Linked DNA regions of Alligator mississippiensis. The protein of the gene in region 1 interacts with the protein of each later gene in a pairwise test. Links are inferred from orthologs where the notes say so. Each region holds a gene or a part of one and is shown in the gene's direction. Other genes may lie near its edges. The genes, in order: NUP58, PKNOX1 and MIS18A.

The links.
Region 2: the proteins of NUP58 (region 1) and PKNOX1 interact in binary tests that used the Homo sapiens proteins (3 or more experiments, as listed by UniProt). The link is inferred for Alligator mississippiensis from reciprocal best matches to the Homo sapiens genes NUP58 and PKNOX1.
Region 3: the proteins of NUP58 (region 1) and MIS18A interact in binary tests that used the Homo sapiens proteins (3 or more experiments, as listed by UniProt). The link is inferred for Alligator mississippiensis from reciprocal best matches to the Homo sapiens genes NUP58 and MIS18A.

The regions. Positions count from the first base shown.
Region 1 is NC_081824.1:430,289,434-430,296,670, reverse strand, and holds the start of NUP58 (nucleoporin p58/p45), read left to right. Parts: upstream 1-4,166; 5' UTR 4,167-4,274; coding exon 4,275-4,390; intron 4,391-5,628; coding exon 5,629-5,768; intron 5,769-7,237. UniProt on the Homo sapiens protein: Component of the nuclear pore complex, a complex required for the trafficking across the nuclear membrane.
Region 2 is NC_081824.1:299,809,145-299,816,932, forward strand, and holds the start of PKNOX1 (homeobox protein PKNOX1), read left to right. Parts: upstream 1-4,752; 5' UTR 4,753-4,857; intron 4,858-7,788. UniProt on the Homo sapiens protein: Activates transcription in the presence of PBX1A and HOXA1.
Region 3 is NC_081824.1:291,157,317-291,164,515, reverse strand, and holds the start of MIS18A (protein Mis18-alpha), read left to right. Parts: upstream 1-4,123; 5' UTR 4,124-4,185; coding exon 4,186-4,426; intron 4,427-4,517; coding exon 4,518-4,584; intron 4,585-4,804; coding exon 4,805-4,927; intron 4,928-6,229; coding exon of another isoform or gene 6,230-6,356; exon of another isoform or gene 6,357-6,397; intron 6,398-6,886; coding exon 6,887-6,980; intron 6,981-7,199. Other genes in the region: MRAP (melanocortin-2 receptor accessory protein), read right to left, coding at 544-649. UniProt on the Homo sapiens protein: Required for recruitment of CENPA to centromeres and normal chromosome segregation during mitosis.

The DNA.
Region 1 (7,237 bases):
GACATTGAGGCTGATAGGGGCTTCCCTCCTAAAAGTTTTCTTCTGTGCAGAGAAGTGTAGGAGTTTCTTCTGACGATCATCACAGTACTTTGGGGGGAAGCCTGTGCTCTACTGTATATTCTGTGAAAGTCCAGGGATTTTCAAGCAGAAGTGAACTGTCAAAAATCACCCCCAAGGTACTGTTTCATGAGAAGCCCCCAACTGAAATCCTGCTGTTCTATTCAGTCAATCCAGGGGAACATCTCAGAATTTCTTCGTAGGGGTTTTCAGTACTTCATTTGCAAAAACCTAGCTCAGCTACTGAACACATCAGCAACACTATGGTTGAAAATTTAACATCAAAGCTTATTAGTGTGGAATTTCCTGATTATTACACATGGATTTGCCCTCTGAGAACCTTTATAAAATTGCACTTCAGTTTAACTGAGATGCATATCTTAATGGTCCATGGTATAATTAATTCTAGTGAAGTGCACTGTTCTAGATTAAGACCACATCCAAACATGGGGATTGCTAACATATCAATCCTAATCCTAGTACAAGGAGGGCTTTATTATGAGGTCTGCATTTATTGTGTTGAGTTGCTGCTTACTGATTGGTCAACTGAAAGACAATATTTGTGACATCATGACCCCCAGTGGGACAGTCAAATGAACCACAAAAGATGGAAGTGCCTTGAGGCATCATCATGTCAACTAGGTTCAGCAAAACCTGAGAAAATGAATAATGCTTAAATGGTCATGGAGAAAATATAGAATTTTTTTTTTTAAGTTAGCAGACTCAACTGGTTTTCATCAATAAGGCAGATAAGAACTATCTTCGCCGGTGCTGAAAGTGACTGGTTCACACCAGCTGTCATGGCAAGACAGAGGCGTAATTTGTATCTGGAACTATTTGGTAGTATGGTCCTTCAGCCTGAAGTCATAAATAGGTAAGAAACTTCATTTCAAACTCCATTGTTGTCAAGAACCTAAAATATGTTAAGGGCATCAGGAAAATATCATCATGCCACTTTAAAAACCATGGTATGTTCATATCTTGAATACTGTGTACAATTCTAGTCTCCACATTTCAACAAGGAAGTAATAGAATTAGAAAAGGTACAAAGGGCAACCAAAATGATCCGGGATATAGAGCAGTTGCCGTACTAGAAAAGACTAACAAGGCTAGGGCTTTTCAGTTTTGAAAGGAGAAGGCTAAGTGGGGATATGATAGACATCTATTACAGGGGTGCTCAACCCCCAGCCCACTGGCTGGATCCAGTCTGCATGTCCATGTCATCTAGTCCACAGGGATCCCCATGAGTCCAGAAATTTGGCAGGGAGGACACAATAGCAGTGTTAATTTCCTCCTCTCCCCCAGTATCAAATCCTTGGACCTGGGGGGAGCCCCATAGGATGGATAGTATGGCCCTGCGCACCAGGGTGAGGGACTGAGTGGAGGTGGTGCGAGGCCCGATCCAGGTGTGCTGGGCTAGACAAAAGTGGTACGAGGCTGATCAGATGCACAAGGAGCTGACCAAGACGGTAAAGGGCCGCTCCAGGCATGCAGGGACCAGTTGAGGCAACAAAGGGCCAGTCTGGGCATAGAGAGGCTGAGCTGGCCAAGGAAGTGTGCAGCCAATCCAGGCATACAGGAGCTGGCTGGAGATGCTACAGGGCTGAGCAGACGCAGCACAGGGCCCAACTGGGGCGTGGGGCTGGGGCAACGTGGGACCCCATCCTGGTGTGTGGGGCTCAAACTGGCTCATGGACTAGCCCCCCTAAACTGACCTGGCCTCTGGTCTATACAGTCATGAAGGCTGTGGATAGGGAACTGTTATCCACCAAGTCTCAGTATTCTAGGACTAGGGGACACACTGAAGTTAGGAGATGGTTTTAAAACTAACACAAGAGAAACTACTTTTTTATGCAGCACATAGTTAATCTGTGGAACTCATTACCACGGGAGGTCGTAGAGGCAGATAGTATAGCCAGGTTCAAAAAGGGATAAAGGAGGCAGATAGTATAGCCAAGTTCAACAAATTCATTGATGATAAATCTATTAATAGCTAGTAAACAGATCAGTCAGAGAAGCATCCTCTGGCACCATCTCTAAACCATTAATGGTGGATGCCAGGGAGGATAATGAACAGGGGATAAATCACTCTGGATACGCTCAATTCAGTGTTCTCCCTGCATAGCATCCACTCCTGCCACTGTCAGACAGGCCTATTTTTTGTGCTCAGGAAACATGGGTTTAGGCCCACCACAAAAAACTATAAGCCCTCCTTTAAAACGGAGGCTACTAAGAATGCAACAACAGATTTGTCTCGGGACAAATAAGAAAACAGGAATGGAAGTGAAGGTTACAGGTTCAAAACAAGGGCTAGATAAACCATTGACCTGACCCAGTATGGTACTTTTTATGTTTTCAGATCCCAAAACAGTGTGTAAATATTCAGGGAAACACTATCAAATTTAGATGTTGGACAGCATCTACCTTTGTCCGTAGGTAGACTCACTTGTATTCCAAAGTCTGGGTGGTACAGAGTTTCTCAAAACAGGGGCTTTTGGCACAAAGGAAAGCTCTCAAGCATGTGCATATGAATGTAAATAGAAGCCAAATCAAACACAACAGCTTAGCACAACAGCCTAAAACACTTTTCTTTGCACCACGTGAGGACTTTCAAGACATACATGCTAGTATTTAATTGCTGTTGAGAAACAGTTTTCTTAAGATTCCATTTCTGTGTATGTTTAACTTTACATATTGAAGTCAATTTAACTATTTACCTGCAGAAAACCGAGCACAAATTTCTTCTTTCTGGCCCTGAACATATTGCATTGCCCCAAGAGGCTATACCTGTTTTATACCAGGTAGGGAGAGGGTCTTAAATTACCTTTAAGTAGCATTTGTATTGGAATTAAGTAGAGTACTGGCCCCAAATCTGGCCTCTCTACCTTTTAAACATATTATTTCAGCCCAAGATAGGTAGTTCTGTATTGCTTTTGTATCTGTTCTCTGTGAAAGGCAAAGGACAGTTTTGGGTTTTTTGGGGGAGGTGGGAGGAAAGAGGAGGGATATCTTTTATTGGACCAACTGCCTTGTTGGAATAAAGTTAGACAAGTTTTGGAATGCAAAGCATTCTTCAGGTCTGAGGAGAAAAGCAAGCACCTACACGTGTAGCGAGGCTGCTCTGACAGCACATCCGAGCAGGCTCGATTAATTGAGTATGCTGGAGCATGGTAATAACAAAGCTCTTTGGACAAGCTTTAAAGTATAACGTAACTTTGAAACGTGAGGATGCTGTTACACAAGACGCTTCAGGTGCTTTAACTGGAGTGGCTCTTAGAGCCACTCTCATTAAAGCCACCCTCCCAGCACATGTATAAACACTGTAAAATTCTTTAGCTTGTGCCTTCTCCATTCCAAGTGATGGATTTTGGTATCTTCTATGTTATAGCGGTCTTAGAGTGAAATCTATATAGATAGGCAGACAAGGTTCCTTGGGTGAATTTGATATCTTTTATTAGACCAACCCAAATGGTTGGAGAATGGTTAAGCAAGCTTTCGGGTTCAAAAACCCTTCGTCAGGCTAAGGAAGCTTCAGCAGTTGGGTTTTTGAACCCAAAAGCTTGCTTAATAACCATTCTCCAACCATTTGGGTTGGTCTAATAAAAGATATCAAATTCACCCAAGGAACCTTGTCCGCCTATGTCCTTAGACCAACATGGCTACAACCTAAACCCCTGCATATATATATATATATATATATATATATATATATATAGATACACACACATATATGTATACAGACATTCACACCCACACACGGTGATACAGTCAGGCAGCACGACTCCAGCCGACAGCCCTATGCCCGCAAGAAGAGCGCCACCACAAGGCCACAACCCAGCCGGGCGCTCCGCCAGGGGATCACGTAACGCTGTGTCCGCCGAACCCCCGTGCTGGTTCCAGAGGCTCCCGGCGCAAGCGCAGAACCACTCCCAGCACCCGCGATGGGTGGGGCACAAGCGCGGAGGGCGGAAGAAGGGCGTGCGGCAGGACGTTGGCTCCGCCCCCTGCAGCCTTGCGCGCTAAGCCGGGCGACAGGGGAGTGACGCACCCGGTGCGACGGTAACTGGCCTGACTTCGCTAGTATCCCGTGGTGCATTGCGGCAGGCGGTACGGGGCGTCGCAGGAGCCATTTCGCGCCCTTCGCGTTGCTACCTCGAGTGGAGCCCGCGCTCGGCAGCGATGCGGCGCTGAGGAGGCCGCGCTCCTCGGCCGCCGCCATGTCTGCCGGCTTCTCCTTCGGGGCCGGCACCTTGGGCTCCGCCACCGCCGCCGCCGCAGGCGCGGGGGGAGGAGGCGGCGGCGGGGGCTTCTCCTTCGGAGCCGCCGCGCCCAGGTACCGCGGGGCAGAGCCGGGGCGCGGGGCCCGGTGCGGGGGGCGCTCGGGCTGGCAGTGGACCGGACCCGGCGCCGCTTCCCTCAACCCCGCGCTGTGCATCGGGGCCTTGCGCCACCGCCTCTTGGCCCCGCGCTGAGGTAGCGCAGGCTGCGCCGGCCTGCGAGGCCCGGGGTGCGGAGATCGGGCAGGAGGGAGGGGCGATGGCTGCCGCGGCTGCCCCCCCCCCCCCCCCCCCCCCCCCCCGGAAGGACCCTGGCAGGGACCCTGACAGCAGGGCAGGGAGTTGGGTATCCCTGCTGTGGGGTAGTCCAGGCTTGTGTAAGGATGGCATGAAAGTGTCATCCTTCTGAAACGATTGACGTCCCATCTTCTCCACAGCGAGGGGCAGCCTGGCTAATGAGGGCGGCTGGTTATAGCCAGACCTGAGGGGTGGGGTGGGTGCCCCAAACCATAGGAGTTGCTTATTATAAGGATAAACAGCATCACGTCCCAATTGGCAGTGTTCAGGCTGCCGTTCAAAGATGCAGCATCTGGCATTATATTAACGATGTACTGAACCGTTTCCTGCTAACTGGCTTTGACATCTGGTACTGCATCTTAATTTATGATTCAAATGTCAATTGATAAATCGGGAAAAGTACTTGGCCACGTTAGTCTGAAGAAGGCAAGTTTATTTCATAATGGCCTTCAAAAATAGAAATGAAAATGCACTATAAACAAACTTGTATTGCACGTCTGTGACTAATTGTCCCCCTCACAACTGAAATTTTTAAACTTTTAAAATCCTCCTGCAGTTTGGTTTAGTGAAATTTATGCTGAAGGGGATTCACAATCATGATAGTAGCCCACTGATGTTTTGTGATACATAAAACCACTGTCCATAAACTCTCACATTTAATGTCAAAGAGAACCCTAATATATTTGATTTATGCTTATTGAATAAATTGAGTGCAGTTTACTGTAGTTACAGTATTGATCTTCCAAAAATGGACTTGCTTTGCAAATTGTCTTAGAATTTTAAGCATCTACTTTGGTGATGATAAACTGGTAATATGTTCACCCCTTTTGATGCTGTTTTATGGGAGTGAAATCTGACAGCATTACCTTGCAGTTAAAGTTGAATGTGTTGCAGAGTAAGCATCAAGTAAATAAATTGATGAAATTACCTACAGATGCAGACTTGAATTAGGTTGGTCGGAAAAATAATTGTTGCTAATAGTTGTTTAATTTTATAGCTCAACAGGGGGACTTAATTTTGGCACCTTGGGTTCCTCCACTGCTACAGCAACTACGTCAGCTCCTTCAGTAGGTTTTGGAAGTGGACTTTTTGGATCAAAACCCTCGACCGGGTTTACACTAGGAGGTACTAATACAGGTAGGAAGTGCATGTTGATTTTATTCTTACAATACAGGAGAAACCTATTTTACATAACACAGTGTCTTATACAAACTTATACAAAAAAGCAGGGATAATGCATCATGAACAGGGATCTGGGTTTTCCGTTCATGATGGAAAAACTCAGGCTGCCTCCATGGCCCAGTGGGTGGGACCTGGTGCAGCAGGGCACTGAGCTTATGTGCCCAGCCCCGCTCTGCCCTGTTGCGCCAGGTACCACCTACTAGGCTGCAGAGGCCCCAGGGGCAGGGCAGCAGGCTGGGGAGCCCAAGCCTGCAGTGGGTAGTCTGCACTCCACCCCCCACTTCTTCCCCCTCCCCCCCCCCCACTGCATTCCTGCTGTGGGCTTCATGCTCCACTCATCACTGGGGCTGCAGCAGCTGCTGCTTCCTGTGCACAGCAACTGGTGTTCGGGTGCTGCTGCAGGGAGCAGGGGGCTGCACACCTGGGTCCCTGGCCCTTTAGCCCTGGCAGCTGGGGGCCCCCTCTGACAGGGTTGGGGGGGTGGGGGGCAATGACAGAGGCAGGATGCTGGCATATCGGGGCTGTTCAGTGCCACAAAGCAGTTCGGGGAGGGGACAGCCGCAGCTGGACTTATGTCCTGGTGAGTGGAGGGGGCAGCGAGAGCTCTGATTTTTTTTCCCCCATGACAAAAACACAAAATCAAATGCTAAAATTCATAGGTATTTAGAATTTATTTTACTATAGGTATTGAGGTACTGGTAGGCTTCTAAATTGCTTTAAAATTGTGGGCACACAGCAGGGCTGGGGTGGCTCCTGGCTGCCGCCACCGCTGGTCCCAGCCCTGTGGTACCACTGCACGTGCAGCCCCAGCTTAGTGTGGCCTGCGTCTGCTCCAGACTTGCCTGCCCAGGCTCAGTGGCAGCTGCTAGGCAGAAACTGTTGCTTGCCACAGGGGGAAAACAACCCCTTTCCCATACTGCTGCAGGACAGTTCTTGGTGCAGCCACCTAGAGCCTGCACCACACTGGGCTGCCTTGTGGCTGCTTTACACTGTCACCATGCTGAGCAGCCCAGAGGCAGCAGTGGTGGTGGCAGAGCCGCAGGGCAACCTGGTATGGCGCGGGCTCCAGGCAGCTGCATCAGCTACTGCCTGGCAGCGGCGAGGGGGAGGGGCTGCTTTTCTCCTGCACTGAGCAACAGTTTCTGCCCAGCAGCCACTGCTGCTGAGCCTGGACGAGTGAGTCCAGAGCAGGCATGGGGCACACGGGGTCAGGGCTGCCCATGTGAGTCTCTGCCAGTACTGCGGGGCTGGAGCCAACAGTAGCGGCAGCCAGAAGGAGCCACTCCAGCCCCACTGCGTGCCCAGGGGACGGCAGGATGTGCCATGGCTGGACAGCACCTGGGCCAGGTGAGACCCTGGGACCCGCCTTGGGCTGGACAAAGCCCCTCTGGCCTGTATTTTGCCCACCCCTGATTTGGGAGTAT
Region 2 (7,788 bases), about 130 Mb from region 1:
CTGTCCAAATAGCTATGGGACATCTAATCGTCTTAGTTAACTGTTTTTACAGTAGCAGAAAAAAAGAGAATCTTGTTTGCAATAGGGACCTTCCATCATTGTTACCGTGTCAATGCTTGAACTGATATCAGTTCAAAGGAAAGCTGTGGGAAACCCTATTAATACAACATCATTTCATTCTGATCACTGTTACACATATTAGTTGCTGCCAGTGCATAGGAACCCACATCCACTTTTTAAACATTCTTTTCAATGTTTAACCATAAAAAAGCTTTAAAGTAAATCAGAAAGACTCTTTTTTTGTCAAATATTTGAAACAAAAAGTTTCCTCCTTTTCTGTCTGAAAGTATTAAGTATAAAATCTACATCACCGTTATACTGAGCATGCAGTTTTAACATTCAGGACTTCAGAATTGCAAATGTTAAGGATGTCACATTGACCTCACCTCATGTATGCAAAGTTATATTTGATATTTTACATATGTATGTGCATGCAATCCCACTTGCACTAAAATGTAACTGTAAGAATGTATGGTGGGCTTGCCTATCTTCGCCCAGTTCCTCAGGATTAGAGAATTGCCAAAGCAATAGGTGAGACAAACCCACCCATCAGAGACCAGCAGGGGAGGAGCCTCAGGAAGAGTTTGCCCTGCCCCTACATCAGGGTGAGGTGAGGAGCAGACCAAATTGAAGACTGTGCTCCATCTCCCCTGATTGGCTAGGCTTCAGTCTTGGGGCAGAGCCCCAAAAGGGTATATAAGGAGCTACATGCACAGCACGTGGGGGGGGGAGGGTGGTGTGTGGAGACGATGAGGGATGGAGAAGAAAGAAGAAGCTGGGGCTGAGGAAGAGCTAGGGAAGAGCTACCCAGGGGGTGCTTCTAGTTGCCCTGAAGAGCCATGTCCCCAACCCCTTGCCATGAGAGAGCACAGTGAGCCGGTGCAGACATCACTGCACAGAGGGTCCAACAGTGACTGCGACCTGGAGAGCTGTTCAAGGCGGCTTGGGTCTCCAACCCTAACATGAGGCTGGATGGTGCAGGTGTCACTGCATGGAGGGTCCGGTGAGCTGCTCAAAGTGGCTCAGGTCTCGAACCCCAGCACCAGTGCAGACGCTGCTGCATGGTGAGCCATTGTTGGGCCAAGGGCCCTTGGAGGGGGCAGGGGGTGGTTCCCCATTCCCCACTGCTCGGAACAATGGCCCATGGGCAGCGCAGGCTCCGCAGCAAGGCGGCCCTGTACTGGAGCCCTGGTCCTGGGCACACAACCTGCTGAGAAGACCGAGCCATCTGGACATGTGAACAAGCCACGTGGGAATGAGACAGAGCACTCACTGCAGGAGCCACTTGCCTAGCTGGGGATGAAACACTGGGAACCCCTACTCACCGGGAAGCTTGACTTCTTGGACAAGGGGTTTCCCACTGGGGAGGGATATCAGAGTGGGTTTAGGCTAGAGAGAGAGAGACTCCTCTAGAGGAGGGGGGCATTTGGGATTATCATGCCTTACATTTTGGAGTGTTTATTAATTGCTTGTTGTGTTTTCTATTCTGAAGAGTTTATTCACTATTTATTGTGCTTTACATTTTGGGGGCGCTTACCCACCAGTTGCTGGGACATACTTACCCTCTGAGGATCCATGGGTGAGGTTTCTCTTGTGGATCTTGGGGACTGCTATACTTACCTATTATTTGTTGACTTGAATGTATTATATGTAAAGAGTTATCTTTATCACCCATCCAGTTTATTCTATCCCCTCACCTTTTATTCTGCATCTGAATAAACTATGTATATAGTTAAGATATTGTGTCCTGGTCTTCCTCTAGAGACACTGGAGAAGGGTAAGCTGTGAGCAAGCTGCAGTTTCCATTTCCAGCACATACGCCCTGCTGATCATCCCCTTCTATTGGAAAGGGGGCTTGCACACTCCGGTACACCTGGGATACAAATGTAAGAAAAGAACTGGGTGTTCTAGGTGGTAGGTAAAGTACTTTTAGTAACTTAGACCTTGACCCTAAAAGCACTTACACAAATGCCCACCATTCAGATAACTTGGTACTACTCACTGCAATAAATTTAACCAGGTATAAAATTGTTTCCAGGCCCAGTTGTTAAATGTATCTGATTTAGGGATACACATACAACTTCAGTGCTCAATATGTTCTACTTGCACAAATTGAAATCAGTTTGGGAAGACTGGTATTTCATCATCATTTGCAATTGCAAAGCTTATAAATGTTGCCACTTATTCAAAGCTTCTTCCAATGTGTTATTGCAGGTATTAAACATTTTGTACAGCCAGGTTTACTTGTAAGTTCCATGCTGTCCAAGAAAAGAAGGTGACTGACACTTAAGTTTCACCATTGACTTCCTGTGTGCACCTGTATTTGTGAAGAACACAGTGTAATAGTAAGCCAGTTGCGTGAGTAATCTTCTAATGTATTTATTGTGGAGAAAACCTTCACTGTGGTACTGAGTCCTCAATGTTTTGTGACTGAGAAGGAGAGGCACAGTAAGATCTTAGCACCCAGAGATGGAGAGAAAAAAGGATTTAATTTTCCAAATTTTTCATCTTCTATTATTCTCCACTGTTTTTTCTTCTTCCTCTCACTTTCTATTCTTTTTTCCTCCCTTTCATTCTCTTCAGTTTCTAAATGTTGCAGACTTTCTGAGATGGGTGATCCTGATTTCCCTTCTATTTTCTTTGCTGAATCTTACAAACGTTATTTTCACAGTCCTTAGCTCCACATTGCTCTGCCTGCCTCGAAGAAAACTGGTGAGCACAAGAGCTGACAAAGAGGCAAGAAAAAGGACCAGATGACAATTTGTGACTGGCCAAGTGAGGATGGCAGCATAGGGTGACTAGATTCCCAAAGAAAAAACTGGGATGACATCAGCTGGGAACGGATTGGGGGCATGACAGCAGGGGACAAAAGCTGCTATGTGCAAGGGATATGTGACAAGCCTGTTGCATATATGCTCAGGTAACTTGTCTTGGTAACATGGGCTCTGCTGACCAGTGCTGCCTCAAACAGCCTGGTCTGGCAGAGGACTGTAAAAAACCCAAACTTAGCTACTGGGCTTACAGGGAAGTCAAGATAGGCCCTGAATGCAGGAAGGTCCCCAGGGAAAGCAGGGGTTCATGGCCATCAGGCAGCTTTGCCTGGCCTGACCCTGCCCGGGGCTGCAAAACCTGGGACAAATCACTGGTTTTTAAACAAGCTCCTGCCAGGCACCAGACCATGGCTGGCACTGTGGGGAGGCACTCTGCTCTCTGTAGGGGAAAGGGAGCCAGGCTGCCCCTTTCCCCTCCGTTCATGGCATTGAACGAAGCAGGCTGCCTGTTGCCTCTGCGAGCTCAGGCCTCTCTGAACCAGCTAGTCTGTGAGGCAGGTATTATCAACCAGGCGGCCTTGAGATCCTTTAGGGATGCCCCATGTGAGGCATGCCAGCACAACCCGGAGAGAAACCCAGAGGTTTCCAAGAGGACCCCAGAGTACGGCAAATGTTCTGCCCTGCTGTGGGCTTTCTGGACAGGCCGATGGCCCCTGTACTTTTCCATAAATCCAAAAAAACCCCAAAAACAGGAGAGGAGGGGGGAAACAAAGCCGGCTTTTCCTCAGAAGCACCCTGCGAAGAGGGGCCGGGTGCCTAACTAGGGTTGGCAACCCTGAGTCTATTCGAGGAGGTTTCCAAAATGCCAGTGTGCCTGCAACACAACACGAATGCGCCCACGTACTTGTGTGTATCAGGTACGGATTATGGTGTGTAGACGTTATGTCAAGAAGGCAAATGCACGTGACTGTTACATTTTAAAAACCCACTGGACTACTGTACAAATCAGATTCAACATTTAATCTTTATTTTAATGAACGCCCTGTCATTGATCTCTCAGGTGACTCCCAGCAGTCTCCTGGAGATTTCTTTCTCATTCCTAGAGACACCAGGGCAATGCTGGTGGGTTGGCAACCCCAAGCCAAAGGGTGCCCTGAGCCTCCAGGAGCTGAGCACCCCCTACACGCTGCCTGATCTTTCTCCCGATTCAGGGTGGCGCTGTACAGATGGGCAGTGTCGCCCAATTGGGTGGCAACAGCGGGGCAGTCTGCTAGCTGCCAGGCTCTCAAGGACCGGTGTTTCTAGGAGGGGGGGATAGTGCTGGGGACACATGTGCTCTCGGGAGCTGGTGAGCGGTGTGTTGCAGGGCATGCATGGCGCTGGGACTGCCACGGCCCACCCTGGGGCGCCACTTGCAGCACACCACTCCCCTGGGGCTCACAGGAGCACCTGGGGCAGCCCCAGGCCAGGTCTGCAACCCCCAGAGCCCTTGGGCCCACAAGGGAGGGCCTGTGGGGCAGAGGCCTGAGTTGGGGGGCTGCATAGTAACCACCCCTTCCCTTCCAGGAGGAGTGCGTGGCCTCCCCCTCATTTAATTTGGTATCTTCCCCAAGTCCCCCCACCCTCTACTTCATTTGGTATCTTCCCCCTGCCCCCACCCCGGAGAGTTAGTTCCATCTCCCTCCCACCCCCGACCGAGCTGAAAGGGGCGGTGCAGAGCTGGGCGAGTCCCCGCCCCCTTCATGAATATTCACAAGGCTGGCGGCGCGCAAGCCGGGGAGAGAGAGAGAGAGGAGCGGTGGCCCCACCCCCGAGCCGAAGCTAGCGGCCGGCGCTGGGCGTGTCCGCGGCGGGCCCCGCCCCCGCGGGGGTGAATATTGATGAGGCGTGGCGCGCGGCGCGGTGTCGTGGCGGGCAGCGCGGGCGGCGATTGGCCCGCCGCGGGTGTGCGCGGTGACGCGTGTCGCGGCGGTGCGGGTCCCGATTGCTGCAGCCGCTTGTCAGTGTGACGAAGATTGGCACCCAGGTAAGCGCTGTCACTCAAACCCGCTCCCAGCCAGCTCCGCCAGCCATCCATCACGGCGCGCCCGCCGCCGCCGCCCGGAGCCCCGCCGCGCCGTGCCGCGCGGCCCGGCCGGGGGGGCGGGGGGGGCAGCCCGCCACACGGAACAGCGGCGGGGGAGGGGGCCGCTCGCGCTCATGCCCAACCCGAGCGGGGGGGGGGGAAGGGAGGGAGAGAGGGAGGAAGGGCGGGGGTGAGGGGCGGTGGCGGGCAGGGGAGGGGGGAGCGAGGAAATTTCTGGAACAGCCGCCGTGGAACCGTTGTCTGGGCGAGCGCGCGCCGGCCGGGTGTGGGCAACAGCTGTGCGCGCGCGCGCGTGTGTTGGGGGGGTATTTAAAGGCCCAGCAGCAACTTGGGGCACATTCCGATGGAGCCGGGGGTCCCTAGCTCTGGTCTTAACACCTGCCCCAGTGGGGCTCCCTTCCCCCCGCCCCCCTACGCGCAGTGGTGTAGTCCGCGGGGAAGCGGTACAGCTCCCTCCGGAGTAGTAGTGCGGCCCGGGGTGGGGGGGGGTTTCTCATAGCGCCTGGGTATCGAGTGCCCCCTCCTGCCCCTGCACCCACTCCTACGGCAGGAGGCGGGGCAGCCGTTGCCGCAGTCGCGGCCCCCAAGCGCGTGCAGCGTGAGGCCCCGCCCCGGCGGGGCAGCGGAAGAGCCCGGCCCGCCTAGCCCGCCGAGGCCTGGTCGCGGTGCGCGCGGCTCGGGGAGGGCGGCTGGCTGCGTCCAGCCACCTGCCCGCTGCTGAGCCGGCTGCTGCGTGTGCCCCAGAGGCTGGGCTCGGCTCTGCAGCAGCTGCCGCCAGCAGATGTAATAGTCACCTCGGGCCGCCCAGCGTCCCCCGGGCTTCTCCGCAGCCTGGCCTGGGAGCTACTGCTCCCCCGGGGCCGGACCTGCTCTGAGCTCATGTATTAACACCGACACCAGCACCTGGGCCTGCTCTGTGCTTCTGCATCTCTACTTCTCAATCTCCATTTCACTCTTTCTCTCTTGAATTTTATCCATGCAGTGGTTCTGGGCAGCTAATGCTCCAAATGATTTTAGAGGTGTAGTTGCAGTGGCGTGGGGTTTTTTCCTCTTTTTTTTTTTTTTTATCTTGACTTTTTTTTTCCTGCTGGTGCCCAGGTTCTCAACCTTTTTTGTACCAGGACCCATTTGTAAACATCGATGGCCAGCCCGGACCCAATGCCCCTCACTCCTGACCTGCTGCCCAGTGCCCCCAGTGTGCGCGGGGGCGGGGGGGGAGGGGGCAAGCAGCCCCTTGAGGGGATGGAGCTCTGCCAGCCTGCAAGGGAAAAACCACAGTTTCCCACGTTTTTCTCTAAAGAAAAATCCATTTTTAAAGTTTGTGACCCTTTCATGTATTCTTGCAACCAGTTTTGGGTCATGACCCATGGGTTGCAAAATGCTGTGTTAGTCAGCTTTGATTGATTGATTTGTTCCTCATTTAGGGTAACTAACGTATCTCAGGGGAGACCATTAGGGTCCTGATCTGTTTCCCTTATTCATCGGAGTCTTGTACCTGCTATATATATAGTTTTGGCCACACAGTTACAAATGCTGTCCAGGCAGGGTTCATTTTTTTCCTCAGCCCCTTTTGGAATCTGCTGCGTGTTCCATTAAGTTGGTTACTGAAGTGAAGAGACTGTGTTTTGGCCTGGCTTGCAGACTTTGGAGAACCTTTGAGTCACAGTTGTCTTATGTCACAGTCCCTTTATTCTAAAATCTCATTCAATTAAAATAGTCTTGCATTTTTTCACCTTTTTAAAAATCTTACAATAAAGTGAGCACTCATATTGCTGTTTACCTATTCAGGTGTTCATCATCTTGCTTAGAAATTTATTTCTAAGTGTTCTTCACTTTTCTTTTTGCTACAGTATCACTCTTTTGATAAGATGTGATTTTTAGAGGTTTTTAAAAAATACATATCATTAGTATAGCTACCAACGCTGCAGCAGTTGTATCACTTTACAGATCCTGGTATAGTCCAAGTGGTAAAACGTACTTATTGCAAGAATGAATGTTAATTGTGCATGCAGAAAGCCATAGTCTCTTAAATTGCCTTGAAGGGTAGAAAGCTAATGACTGCTGCAGTATTAGAAATTCCCTGATACAAAGTCACAATATTTAGGGCAGTTTTAGGCAAAAAAAAAAAATATATTGTAGACTCACTTTCTTAATACCTCTGCCAAAAATTGCAGAATTGTGTTTTTTAAATATGAAAATAACTGCTTTTGTATTTAATCATGCATTGGTTTAAATTGTCGAACCTACACACGTAACAAACCATATATTTGGGTAAAACAGTATCTTGCCTCATTTGATTTCATCCTTGGTTTTTAGCTTATCCAAAATCTCTAGTTTTTCAAATTTTGTTACAAATGAGAATATTTTTTGCTGTTTGGTTTATTCTGGGCAGTGAAACATGCTCAGTGCCTGTCCCTGCAAGTAGCAATAATTTTCGATACTTCCCTGCATTCTGACAACAAAAGGCACAAATGAGAGCTTCAGAAGAACATAAGAAGTGCCTTACTAGGCGTGTCTACACATTGATTAATGTAATTACAGCGCATTAAGTTTAGTACCTGCAACTACAGGTACTAACAATGCACCAAAATCAGTGCTACTACACATTAGTGCAGATGAGCACTCTTAATGTGATGTTAATGCATGTGACTTAAGTCTATTGCGCATTAGCATGGTTTTTGCCAGCTGTGCCAGTGCACAGTAGAAGGGTATTCTGTGCATTGTCTTGTGTAGATGCACTCACTGGGTCAGACCAATGGTCCATCTAGCCCAGTATCCTGTTTCCAGGCGTGGCAGAAGTGAATGCTATACCAGGAGATCATTGAATGAAATATCTCTATAGAGTGCTTTATCCCCAGTTCAGTACCCTTC
Region 3 (7,199 bases), about 140 Mb from region 1:
AGAGATCACGATGATGAGCTAAAGAGGAATGCCAGATTAAAGAAATAAGGAAATAAGTAGCAAATGTGTATTCAATTTGTGGCTCTTCCTAACTGATCAAAATACAGCTTCTTTTTCAATAATATATAAAAATGCACAAAAATTTCAGTGCAAACCTTGTATTTCAAGAAGGAAAGATAACTGGCAAATCTGTAAGCATATTAATCTATTGTTATTCTACTGTACAAAATAGCCAGGAATATGTCAAACCATTTATCTGCATTTCAGAACAATTTCCAGTTAATAAAGAGTTCAATAAGCTGTCTTTCCAATTAGGAGTTAATACCAAAATATTTCTAGAATATACATTCTTTATACTAAATAAAATAATATTGTACCATTAGCATCAGCTGGTATTAGAACCCAATCAGCATATATTGCCCAATATATGTATTCCAGTATGGTCTATATTACAAAGTGAAAACACATGTAAAAGAAACTAGTCATCCTATTCTGTTTTCTAATGCTTCCCATAGTAGATTAGCTGCTACATGTAGTACTTACATTTATGAACCTTCAACATCCTTCCATCTACTGGAAATGGATCAAAATAGTCCCAATAATATTCATAAGACCAGTAATACTCAGATGAGTTTGTTTTGTTAGCCATTTCAGTAGTATATTTCAATCAGCTCTGCTCTGATCTGATACTTTGTTTCATTGTACTTTGGAGTTCTCAAAAAGACACTGAGTACCTGATGCCTATGTAAATCATTCTGGAAGACCTCACATCCTGCAGCTCAAGGACTGCTCAGATACTAAAAAAACTTAGCAGAAATTAATATCAGCCTGTGACAGACATTTAATACTAAACTTATACACAGAGGGGGTTAGCCTTGTTAGTCTGAAGTCAGGCAGAAGCAGTGGCATACCAAAGGGAGTGAGGCATGGGGAGGCCATGCCCCTGGGTGCCGGACTGGTGGGGCAGGGGTACTCAGTCCCCTGGTGGCACTTCCAGTTTTGCCACTGGTGATTCCTGGCTTGGCAATTGGCCGCCGGGCCCTGCTCCCACTTAGCGTCTGGCTGTTGGGGGGACCCTCCCTCCCCACTTAGCGATCGGCCGTGGATTGGGGGGGTGCAAATGGAAGATCCATGGTACACCACTGGGCAGAAGGCAGGGAAGGGTGGCACCTGAGGGTGCCTGTACATGAGCTGGGAGGCTGCTCCAGTACACTGTAATTACAGCACATCGGAGCAGACTTGATACCAGCTGAAGCATGCTAATTAGTGTGCTCCAGCCAGCCTCCACGTCTCATGTATCAATGTCCTCGCACTACAAAATGATGGCGGGGACACTTTAACTAAAACTTGTTCAACAAGCTTTAGATAAAGCACCCCTGCCACTATTTTGAAGCATGGGGATGCTAATACATGAGATGCTCTGGGTGCTTTAATTAGAGCAGCTCTCAGAGCCCTCTCCCTCACCCCCGAACCATGTGAAAATGTCCTGAGAGACTAACTAGTTCAGAGCAGCATGAACATTTGTAGGCAACAAACTACTTTGTCAGATGCGTACCTTCTACCAAATTTATACGTGTCATCTACTGTTTAGGTAGAGAAATATGTACTACTTCCCATACTGTTTTATATTGATACAGATGCAAGGTAGACAGTAAAAGAATGAACAAAACCCAAGCTAAATTATAACTCGTCACAATGAGTGCCTAGCAACAACGAAAGAGATATTCTTGACCGGCCAAATATAAAATATACTAAAAACAATACTGAATATGTCATATACAGACCCCTAAAGGACCTCATGAAACACTTCATAAACATAAGGAAGTATTGAAGCAACTATACATTATGTATGAAATATTAAAAATGTTTGTGTTTTAACACCCCTTTGGTTCTGCCAAAAAACAACATAAAAATAGAGCCCCGCCCCATCAGCCTAGAAGCAAAATAGATTCATTTGTGTGCTAATAAATTAGATTGAGCATGTATGTTTATGTTTGTGAAGGCACTTCAAAGGTTGCCAAAAGTAACCTTTGAAGTGCCTACACTAATATAAACATACATGCTCAATCTAATTTATTAGCACAGAAATGACTAACATTAACAGAGAAACAGACCCTCTATTAGTTTTTAATTCTATCCCTAAGGACTATGAGATGCACCATGGCTTTTCAAATCAGAGATGGCAATTTATTCAGATGCAGGTCCTGGAAAACTTCATTCTCAAAGGAGACAGTCTGGTAATAGGTTTAGTCACTATAAAGCATCTGTCTAAACAATGCCACATTTTTTTTTTGCTCTGGAGCAAAGGAAATACAGTGGAAGTAGAATCTCTGCTAGCATTTCCAAAACAAACAAACTGTAAAGGAGCACTAAGGGGTAACGCATAGCATGTGCACGTGGGTGCATGTGCACCCCGTGAGCATGGCAGTGCGCCCCCTGCAAAAAGGGGGTGCAGTCCCTGCCACACCGCCGCCAGCCCATGATCACCCCTGGTCGCGGGTGGTCACTGACCTCTGGTCAGCACTCGTCACCCCTCCCCTGGCTGCCGACAGTGCCGGTGGCATCTGTGGGAGCTCCCCACTCACTGCTGCCAGGCTCCTGCTGCTGCCAGCGCAGCCGTGCCCCCCCCAGCTGCTGGGGACACGCGCTGTTCACGGGAGCACTTATTTTTAATGCGGGCTGGAAATTAGAAATAGAGCAGTTGGCATCAGGTTAGTTAAAATTAACTCTAGTCAAGATCAAAATATGCATCGATCTCTCTATCTTAGATCCTTCTGTGATCCACTTCGCAGCGAAGTATCTGAGCACCTTGCACTCTTCGACACACACATTTTCAGAACACTCCCTGCAAAGTAGAGAAGTAGTGTTTGCATTTGGTTGTTTGAAAACTGAGAAGTAAAGACTTCCACACAGACCCTACACTGTAACTGGATGTCTGAAGTCCACTGATTTCAGCAGGAGTTGGGTACAACCCTTTGAGGATCTGGGCCTCAGTGACTGGTCCAGGGTCACCAAAGAAATCTGTGGCAAAACAGAAATGGAACCCCGCAGATCAGGATAGTTCTTGGTCCATTCTTCCTTCCAGTATTTTGGGGGTTTACAAGCATACCGTTCTCTTCTTAAGAGAACATAGTGTTCTCCCCTTGGCTTTGTGAAATGCCTGTATAAACCAGGGAGACGAATGAATTGTAAAGAAGCTGTGGTAAGACTGACTCTGAATAAATGGGTATGGCATATACAAAGTAGGAAACAGAAACCAGGGAGGGAAGTAATTGTTCTCCCTTTGTCCTTCTGCTAGCCAGGCATCTTCAGGTGTTGGGAGGATGCCTGGCTAGCAGAAGGATGGCGGCATCACCCACATGTGCCACAGCTTGGGCTGCCCCCATGCCTGGGCCAGGCGGTCCCGCTGTGGGCTGCACACAAACAAAATGCCTTAGTAGACCGGATCTTGCCCACCCCCAGTCTATGAAAATGCCTGGCAGCGCTGATGGGGTGTCTGCCCTGCAAACATGTGGAAGGTAGGACTTTTATTTGTGGGTGTGGGTACTTGTTATTGGGCCAAACAGTGTCACCGACTCTCGTGATTTTTAGCGTTGTTCTTAACTTTGGGAATTTTTAAAAAGTAGCTCTCTCTCATATATAATGTTATACATAGTGTGTGTGTGTATATATTATATAAAATGTTATATTATACAGTGTGTGTGTGTGTGTGTGTGTGTATATATATACACACACACTATGTATAACATTTTATATAATATATATATAAAAGAAAAAGCTACGCTTTTCACGTTCCCGAAGTGTGGCCTTTAACAACGACTGCCCAAAATCATGAGAGTTGGCAATGCTGAAAGGCGGGCGAAGTCTTTGGGTGGAGGCAATATCTTTTATTAGACCAAATAAATAAATAAAACTCAATGTTACTGGATCAACGCCCAGTCCAGCCCCTCGGGCATGCGCATACCAGCCGTTCCCTTGCACTGACGCCCGAAACCCCTTATGGCCCGAACTGCAAGGGCGCCGGTCACGTGACGGGCAGAAAAGGGGCGGGGCGTACTCCTGTCCACTTCCGGAAGGGGAGGCGGGGCTGTGCCGTGGGGTTGAGGCTGCGGGTGCGTTGCTTCCGCTGCCGGCGCTCGCTGATTGGCTGGGGAGTGCCAGCGGCCGTTGGCCGGGTGGTTGGCTATGGCGGGCGGGCCGTTTGTACCGCCGGGCGTGGCGCTGGACTCGCAGCTGTCCGTGCTGGGGCTAGACAGCAGCTGCGGGCCCGAGGCGGCGGCGGCGGGGCGGAACGGTGGGGGGGAAGTGGAGGAGGAGGGGCAGGAGCTGCCTATGGTGTTTCTCTGCGCCGGCTGCAAGCGGCCGGTGGGCGACACGCTGAGCTGGGAGGCCAACGACGAGGAGGGGTCCTGTGTCATGCTGCGCAGTGAGTCCTGCCCTGCATCAACCCCGTCCCCCTCATCCCTGTCTGCCCGACCGTTGGGGGGCGGTTGGTGACGGTTGGCTTTCCCTTGCAGATGTCACTTCCAACGTGCTGGTGGATAAGGAGCAGAAGCTGTCCAGCCGGCCCGGCGAGTACGGCTGGTGAGTGACCCCTGCGGGGGCCGGCTCAGGGGATGGCTACCGTAGGGGGCAGAGCCAGTTGGATACATTTGAGACCTCTTAGCTGTGCTCTCTGTTTGTATAAGATGTCCGCAGTGGGGGTGGATGCGGGAAGGCCAGAAGTGGGTATTTGACTAATCTTGGTCATCCTAAAAATTCTTCTCGACGTCTGCTAATTTAGTGATAAGTATTTTGCTTGTAGCATGATTGAAACGCTGCTCTGCTCTGGGTGCTCAGTGAATCTTGGGACCATCTACAGATGCACCCCCAAACACCTGGACTATAAGAGAGATTTATTCTGTTTCAGCGTTGACGCTATTGAAAGGTAAGACCATAGTTCAGGGACTGGCAAAGTCTGGCCTGCAAGCCGGGTCCAGTCGGCTGTGGACTCCAGCTCCCAGCCGCCCCTGCCTGCATGGCTTGAGCCGGTCTCCATGGTGACCCCAGCCGCACCTGCACAGGAAAGCTCAGGCTAGGGTTGTCATGCAGACCAGCCTGAGCCATGTTGGCAGCATGTGTGACAGAGCTCTTGGGATCTTGTGATGGGGGCAGTTTGCTCCAGAGCTAGGGCAGAGCCATGATCTGTAGCCTGCACACTCTGAGCAGGGGATTGTGGCTGTGCCCTGGCTCCAGAACAGGCTGTCGCTGCTTCTAAGAGCTGGGCCTGAGCCACAATCCCCTGCCTGCACGCCTCTGCCTGGAGTGTGCAGGCTGCAGATCACGGCTCTCCTGGCTCTGGAGCAAGCTGCCCCCATCCCGTGTTCCCAGCAGCTCTGGAGCAGCCCCCTGCGCTGCTCTGCCACACATGCTGTTGGTGCGGCTCAGGCTGGTCTCCATGACAACAACCCCAGCCTGCCCTTCTACAGGGGCTGGGGTCTCCATGGAGAACCGCCCTAGCCATGAGGGCAGGGGCTGCTGGGAAATGGAGTCTGGCTGCTGGCGTGGTCATTTTGCCCACCCCTGCCACAGTTCCTCTTGTCAGGTAAGCGTGCAAGTGTTTTTGCCTTTTAATTTGATTGCTTCACTGTCAGAAATGGAGGATGTTTCTCTATTCAGGAGTTTACAACACTCGTGAAAGGGTAGGGATGGTTACTGGTTGCTTCTCTGTACTCCTTTAGTTTAAGAAATGTATTTTCTGTTTTTGCTGTCTATGTTGGAATGCTCGATATATGGAAAGATTCTGCATTTGATGTGGGGTAATCCCTGATAGTTTCATAACTTAGGTGTTCATTCATGAAATAGTTCAAATACATCGAGTGTCATTACATACACAAGACTGGAATACGGTGTCTTGGCTGCAATCCTACCCAGAAGTCTGTGTATGTAAAGACCAAGTATCAAGGTATCAAATTAGACCTAGGTGAAGACAAGCCTTTAGATATGTGGTTCTCAACCTAGGTGCCATGTGATCCTTTTAAAGGTGCTGTGGGGCACTGCAGTGCTAGCAAAGTTAAGTGCACAAACACCCACACATTTCACAAAATAAACCCAGAGATTTAAAATAGGAATCCAGTGTCAAAAACCTTCTGACCTGGTGTGATCTTTCTGTGTGTGTTGCAACAGAAGAATTGCTCTTTCAGTCATTTTTCTCTAGTTAAAAACTGACTGATATTCATTTTTTAAATAGGGTACCACTTGATTCAGGTTATGAAGGGATGTTTCGAGTCTTAAAAATGTTGAGAACTACTGCTTTGGAGGAAATGCGTCTTAACTACCCGTCTAAGGACAAAGTTAGCATGCTGAAAACTGGGTGAAGAAATACACCTTTTGGCTTCCTTGGGCTTAAATCTGGAAGGTCAGGATTGATATACCTACAGCATTAAAACCTGGCTTTCTGTAGTGTTATTAAACAGAAGGTTTTAAAATATTTTTCAGTAATTAAATCTTGGATCAATTATGTTAGCTCTTTGAATGATGTTGCTCTTTGTTCCTGTTCTCATTAACTTAGGGATTGGTTGGTTAGGTGACACTTCCGATTCAGAAGTTTGAATAGCGTCATCCACTTTTTTTGTTTTTACATGTTTTTATTCCCCCTGCGCTATGTTATCCCTGTAGTTCATTCTCTTTCTTCATGTTAATTTGTATCGGTGACAATAGGGAATTCTTGTATGCTTGTTGTATAATAGGTCTACAAAACTACATTTTCTTCTTGGCTTACAGATTGACAAACTAGCACCATCCTCTATTTCATCTAATTGCATTGACTGGTGTTATAAAAATGCCAGGTATGTGTGGTTATTTCTCATTTTGACTGAATATTACATAATTAAATATTTTATATCAGTTACATCCTAGGATCATCAGAAAAGCAAGCTGTAACTGAGGAGGAGCCTTTAACTCTTCAAAGTCGAGGTAGCTTGGAAGAGGCACTAGAAAGGGTAAGATTTAGTTTTTAAGCTGGTAAAAGTTCATTACAACTGTGAAAACATCCATACAGTGTCTCTACATAACTGCTTCTAATTTCAGCCAGTTTCAGAAAGTTAGATGTTCAGAAAACTTTCCTCCCAAGAACAGTTCTGACAAAAACAAAAGTTGCTAATTAAATGCATCTCTGGATTTCTGGCCACCTTTCTTTATAACGAGGAAGAGCACTTGTC